Linked DNA regions of Xenopus tropicalis. The protein of the gene in region 1 binds, or shares a complex with, the protein of each later gene. Links are inferred from orthologs where the notes say so. Each region holds a gene or a part of one and is shown in the gene's direction. Other genes may lie near its edges.

Evidence for each region. The genes of interacting proteins can lie anywhere in the genome.
Region 2: the proteins of dnajb1 (region 1) and nudc are in contact, whole or in part, in a crystal structure (PDB 7NDX), measured with the Homo sapiens proteins. The link is inferred for Xenopus tropicalis from reciprocal best matches to the Homo sapiens genes DNAJB1 and NUDC. Residues at the interface, in NP_006136.1 of Homo sapiens: His166, Lys181, Lys182, Met183, Lys184, Ile185, Ser186, Asp201, Lys202, Ile203, Ile235, Phe237; in NP_006591.1 of Homo sapiens: Pro102, Gln103, Ile104, Lys105, Glu106, Leu107, Ala112, Leu115, Gln116, Ile119.

Annotation. Positions count from the first base shown.
Region 1 is NC_030679.2:134,720,667-134,724,166, reverse strand, and holds part of dnajb1 (dnaJ homolog subfamily B member 1), read left to right. Parts: coding exon 1-112; intron 113-2,733; coding exon 2,734-3,344; intron 3,345-3,500. UniProt on the Homo sapiens protein: Interacts with HSP70 and can stimulate its ATPase activity. Stimulates the association between HSC70 and HIP. Negatively regulates heat shock-induced HSF1 transcriptional activity during the attenuation and recovery phase period of the heat shock response.
Region 2 is NC_030678.2:77,792,934-77,796,433, forward strand, and holds part of nudc (nuclear migration protein nudC), read left to right. Parts: intron 1-1,253; coding exon 1,254-1,448; intron 1,449-1,527; coding exon 1,528-1,611; intron 1,612-3,370; coding exon 3,371-3,489; intron 3,490-3,500. UniProt on the Homo sapiens protein: Plays a role in neurogenesis and neuronal migration. Necessary for correct formation of mitotic spindles and chromosome separation during mitosis. Necessary for cytokinesis and cell proliferation.

The DNA of each region.
Region 1 (3,500 bases):
GATAAGAACAAGGACCCGGGAGCTGAGGATCGATTCAAAGAGATTGCGGAGGCCTACGATGTGCTCAGTGACCCTAAGAAGAGGGAAGTGTTTGATAAATATGGAGAAGAGGGTGAGTATGTGTAATATGGCTGGTTGTAAAAAGGCAATTGACTGATACAGGTATGGGATCCAATATCCAGAAACCCGTTATCCAGAAAGTTCCAAATTACGGAAAGGCCATGTCCCATAGACTCCATTATGAGCAAATCATTTTTATTTTATAAAATAATTTCCTTCTTCCCTGTAATAATAAAACAGTACCTGTACTTGATCCCAACTAAGATATAATTACCCCTTATTGGGGGCAGAACAGCCCTATTGGGTTTATTTAATGGTTAAATGATTCCCTTTTCTCTGTAATAATAAAACAGTACCTGTACTTGATCCCAACTAAGATATAATTACCCCTTATTGGGGCAGAACAGCCCTATTGGGTTTATTTAATGGTTAAATGATTCCCTTTTCTCTGTAATAATAAAACAGTACCTGTACTTGATCCCAACTAAGATAGAATTACCCCTTATTGGGGGCAGAACAGCCCTATTGGGTTTATTTAATGGTTAAATGATTCCCTTTTCTCTGTAATAATAAAACAGTACCTGTACTTGATCCCAACTAAGATATAATTACCCCTTATTGGGGCAGAACAGCCCTATTGGGTTTATTTAATGGTTAAATGATTCCCTTTTCTCTGTAATAATAAAACAGTACCTGTACTTGATCCCAACTAAGATATAATTACCCCTTATTGGGGGCAGAACAGCCCTATTGGGTTTATTTAATGGTTAAATGATTCCCTTTTCTCTGTAATAATAAAACAGTACCTGTACTTGATCCCAACTAAGATATAATTAATCCTTATTGGAGGCAAAACAAGCCTATTGGGTTTATTCAATATTTAAATGATTTTTAGCAGACTTAAGGTATGAAGATCTTAAATTACAGAAAGATCCCTTATCCAAAAATCCCCAGGTCCCGAGCATTCTGGATAACAGGTCCCATACCTGTACAAGTAGCATGTGTTCTTTGTATAAGTAACAGCTGCTCTAAATAAGTTATGGATCTTGTAGAAGTCGTGGGGCTCCAGAGTATATTTGTTGGAGTGTAAGTATGTCTGTGTGCGCCTAACAGGGCCAAATATGGGGTCCTTCACATTAGTCCGAATGCCGAACTGAATCAAAACACTAATTTGCACATTCAGACTTGAATTCCGTTAAAAAAGGGCATCAACTGTGAACCAAAAATTGTCACATTCAGCTGTCCAGAAGTCACATGATTTTAAGCGTTCATCCAAACCGAATCCATATCCTGCAGAACAGGCTGGGATTCAGCCAGGTGCTGAATTCAACGCATCCCTTGTTTATTATGAGGGGTGGCTGTAGTGTTATTATTTCACTTTTTGTTCAGGAACTCTGCAGCTTGGAATCTTAGCAGTTATCTGGTTGCTAGGGTTCAAATTACCTTAGCAACCAGGGAGTGGGTTGAGTAAGAGACACTGATCTATTTCCAAGAAGGCAAATAATTCAATAACTATACAAAATAAAAAATGAAGACCAATTCAAAAGTTGTGTATTGGCCATTCTGCAAGATAGTTGAAGGACTTTTGATGGTTAATGCCCTCCACAAGCTGACTTCACCTTATGAAAGGTGTGGGGCCTTTGGCTCTTTGCTTGTTGTCCGTTTGGCAGTTTCACAGGGAGATGTCAGGTCCGTTTGGTCAGATTTGTTCTGATTTATCACTCTGACCAGCTACGTAGCATCACAGTGTTACATGCAAAGTAACACTCGCATAACAGGAATAGCCAGAGCACTAGTTCAGCCTATTTAAGAAGTTAAATTGGGGTGGGGGGGGAGGAAAAAATATTTTTGTTTCAGAAAATGGTGTTTGTGCTTGTGTGTGCAGATCGCTACAAAAGAACCCTTGTGCCCTTTGCTCATCCAACACACAGATGTGACAGCACAGGGAAACTTTTCACATGCAGAATCCATTGTTCCATGCTTTCCACTGGGAGTGGGTACTGTCAGCATTCATGTTTTAACCCCTTCTTGTACAGATCTAAGCAGTGCAGACTTTTCCCAATATGCCTACATCTGGGTGCTGTACTATTGCAGCATGTGGTGGAGTAGGGATATAGCTCCTGGGGCAACAGCAAATAATATATTTACAGCCACCAGATAAATAGGGAATTGTGATTCAGTAGCTCCCATTGTAGCATATTGGGGGGGGGGGGCTATAATAAAAGTCATTATGCTGGATTATAATAATGCTCTTTGGTTAGCAGGCCCATCTGCTCAGAGTAAATAGGATACTCTCAAAACCATTGCAGTGTAGTTGATTAAAGGACTCTAATCCCTGCTTAGAAAAAAATGTATCATTTGCTTCTTCTGAAAGCTTGCATGTTTATTCTTGCTGATTTCCTCATGTTCTGCAAATCCAAGCTTGTTCCTCAGTCTTGCAAATTCCTTCCTGATATTTTCTTGAACCATAGCCAGTTACCTTTGTAATACTGCTACTACCCCTCCACCCTGTATTCCATGCCCAATATAGAGCACATAGAACTGACGGCATAGCCAATAGCTCCCTTGGCTGTTAAATGTGGGGAAATGCAGAGCACATTGGGGAGGGACTATATAATAAACTACATATGTAATTTTTATTGTCTCTAAATTATAATCTTTCTCTCAAATCAGGCCTGAAGGGAACTCCTGGTGGTGGAGGAAGCAGCGGCGGCCCCAATGGTACCTATAGCTACACTTTCCACGGTGACCCTCATGCTGTCTTTGCCGAATTCTTCGGTGGTCGAAATCCATTTGACGGCTTTTTTGGACGCAATGATGACGACATGGATACAGACGATCCCTTTGCTGGCTTCGGTGGCATGGGGGGCTTCGGTGGCATGGGGGGAATGGGAGGAATGGGGGGCATGGGTGGCATGGGAGGCTTTCCTCGGTCTGCATCGGGTCGACGGGACACTGTACCCAGAAAGCAGGATCCTCCAATCACACGTGAACTCCCAGTATCTCTTGAGGAAGTGTTTAATGGTTGCACCAAAAAAATGAAAATCTCGCACAAGAGGCTGGGGCCCGATGGCAGAAGTGTGCGTAATGAGGACAAGATACTCACCATTCAGGTGAAAAAAGGCTGGAAAGAAGGCACCAAGATCACCTTCCCTAAAGAGGGTGACGAGACCCCCAGCAACATTCCTGCTGATATTGTCTTTGTGCTAAAAGACAAGTCTCATCCAGTGTTCAAAAGAGAAGGATCCGATGTGGTTTATACATCCAAAATCAGCCTGCGAGAGGTAAGCTAGGGACTGGGGGCTAACTACACCTATGATTTGCATTAAGTTTTTGTTTGTGAGACCTAATCAGACCTAATACTGCCATATACATAATCATTGAAAATTAATAAGATTGAGAAAGAGAACCTAAGATATATCTCACTGAAAGGTCCTGAA
Region 2 (3,500 bases), on another chromosome or scaffold:
AATCATGTGTTTCTTTTGATAGAGAACTCAGTGCAGCTTTTCTGTGAGTACGTATAGCTGTATTTACATAGACCTTTCTGATAAAGCTCACTTCGTTTTTACCTTTCCTTCTCCTTTAACGAGGAAGCATTTTGTTTTCTAAATTCTATAGCTGTTTATGCAACTTTATGCAACTTTTTGCAAACTGCTGATTAAAGGAATACTGACAGTATATAATTTCAATAATTTCGTCCCCAGGACCTGATAGCCTGGTGATGGTACCTTTTTGAATTGCTGTATTTTCAAAACTAAAGCAGCCTGAAAATGTTAGCACGACTTCTTAAGTAGAGCTTTAGGCAGTAAGGTTACTGAATGCAAGCTCGACTACCTAAGAAGAGCTTAATGCAGTAGGGTTACTGAGAGCAACTATAGTGAAGAACAACCAAAAACCCAACTTCTGGTTCTGCATAGGCACTGTGGATTGACTCCTGTCTAAAAGTTTAGGGGATGTAGTCTCAAAATTATACTGACTAGCAAAACAATGTACCACGTCCAGAACATGTGGCATATATGAAACCTTGTACCCCAGGCTGGTGCCCCTGTTCGGAGAGAACAGCACCAGCCTGTGGTACCTGTAGCGCTTCCTCCTTCCTGCCTCAGTGCGCGCGCATGTGCAGTAGAGTGAAAAAGCCGAACTTTAACAGAGAAGTCGGCTTTTCACTCTACTGCGCATGCGCCTGTCGTTTAGTCCTTGCAAAACGAAGCCAGAAGGAGGAAGCGCTCAGCTACAGGTACCCTGGGCTGGTGCTGTTTTCTCCTAACAGGGGTACCAGCCTGGGGTACAAGGTAAGCGTAAGTCACTTGGGGGTGCCTAACATTTTGGCACCAAGTGACTTAGCCTTTCCTTCTCCTTTTAAAATGAGGAAAAATAGCCATCACTGTTGTGCTTATTCATGTGTTGACAGCTCTGTTGCATTGTATGAAAAAGGTTTGAAGACAGCAGTAGTGAAAAGTGGTAATGCAAGTCACAAAGTGACCATTCATTTACAATACCTTTTTAAGTTAAGCAATTTCAAGAAATGGTAGATAAATTAAACTAACCTGATAAAGAAAACTAACCAAGTTTGTGTTACTGTGATAGGGACCATTCAATTATAGCCTTCACTGAGGCAGGAACTTTAATGCATCATCTATAATATCTGAGAAGTGCCAGAATATCTAAAAAGAATATGGTTGCCAATCAAATCTCAATTATTTAATTTCTCCTTCCTTAGCTGGTTGTGCCATTCCCAGTTTCTTTCCGGCTCAAAGGGAAGGATGTGCAAGTGGATATCAAACGACACAGACTGACGATTGGGCTTCGGGGACAAAAGCCAGTTTTAGATGGTGAACTGTTTAATGACATTAAAGTTGAGGAATGCTCATGGCTAATAGAGGATGGAAAAGTGGTAACAGTGCACCTGGAAAAGGTGAGTCTGTCTGGTGTCTGTGTGACCTGCATTCTATTTACACTTCTTCTCCAACTAATCCTTTCTGTATACCCTGTAGATCAATACAATGGAGTGGTGGAGCCGCGTTGTCTTAACAGATCCTGAAATTAATACTAAGAAAATAAATCCAGAGAACTCCAAGGTATGTTGTGTATTATTTCAAATAAATTATAAACAACACAAAATAATGTAATGGCTATTGCAAAAAAAACATGAAGGCATTGACTTGACACTAAAAAATATGGACTCTGCATATTCACTGGACAATTTAAAGGGCATATTATTGTATTTATTGACGATTCAGTCCTTGAGTAAATCTGTAGGGTGTCATTTCTTTTTATAAACCAATATCATGCTTAATAGTATGCATTATAAATGTTGGACTTTTTATATGTTAAAAAAGTAATTGACATTGGTTCTACAAGCGTGTTTTGTTCAGGATATATACGGTACATTGGTTTAGGTAGTCAATGGTATCCTACTCGAGGTAATGTTCAACTTCTGTTAAAGAAGGGGAGGGTTTGGGATTACCAGTGAAGGTTCAAGTTCCCCGGGAAGATCCTGTGGGACTTTTTATATTTACTTTATATGTTCACTATTCACCTTAACTGTTTGGTCTTCAGTTGGGAGTCTCCATTTCAAAAATACCAGGACCTGTAGTTCAGGATGCCTTGACTTGATTTTCCTGTATATACCCTGCAGGTAGAATGTAACATATAGCAGGCAAGAACAGTGTTGTATCTATAGAAATCATTCACCTAAAGGCCTCCACTGTGTTTCCATTAACTCTGAAATCTCTTATGCTAGTAGTAGTTTACAGAACACTGGCAAAGGGAGCAGACAGCCTTCAAATGACTGATTAATACAAAATAAATTCTTACTAAAGTTATGCTCAGCCTGTGTCTGTTAGTTCCGATGTCAGCAGGGGTTTTTTTTGTGTAGAGCTTGACTATTTCTGTACCCATATGGTATGAACTTCATTCTGTGTCCATACGTCATGCATCATTTGTCTGGGCTGCTTTTTGAACATGATTCATGAGTTTGCCCAGGAGCAACAACTACTAGCAGCCAATCAGTAGGTAGCGTGTATTGGTCACCTGACTAAAAGCAAGCATCTTACTGGTTGCTATGCGTTACTGCTACTGGGCAAACTTACATATAGGGGTAAATATTTAAAATTCATATATACATTCAAGTGTTCATATTTCAGGCAAGTTGAACCTTCATCAAAGATTAAATTGCCCTCCCTGTAGGTGAATCACATTTTGGTATTTACACCATAGGATAGTCAAATGTCACCAGTTTTAAGTAGACTCCAGCAAGAGTTCAATAGGTAGCCAATATAGTAGGCAGCCAATATAGTAAAGTCTTACACTGGACCCAGATGGGAGATTTAGTGCCCTACAAAGTCTTCCTATATCTTCAAGCAGTTAACTGAAGCGCTTGCTGGGAATAAATCCAGGCAAAAAACCCGTTGCAATCTGTGGCCAGTGCTGCACAGTAAGATTTAGTAGTTCAGGCCATAATAGTAAGCCAAACAAACAGATCTTTCTCATATATGCCCACCTTGACGTGGATGATATTGGATTGAGCCAACTGTTCAGACCTCAGGCCAAATGATAGGATTGTACTGATGGGATGCAGGCCATCAGGACAAGGACCACATCAACGACATGATTTTTATACCTGCCCAATCAATATCTATCTGATTTTTGGCCAGATATTGGTCTGGCAGGCACATCTTAGTGCCCCATACACAGGCTAATTAACTGCCGCCTGCTGACGGTGGAGAAAGTGATTTTTGGCCAGACAAGGCAAAGTCTACTAACAACTTGTAGTATATTTCTACCATATATGATAGCTTACCTGCTTTATCTCCCTTGTTGTTTTTGCTTGCCTAGCTTTCTGATCTAGACGGTGAGACCCGCAGTATGGTGGAAAAGATGATGTATGACCAAAGGCAAAAATCTATGGGGCTTCCAACTTCAGATGAGCAGAAAAAACAAGATATACTGAAAAAGTGAGTATGAA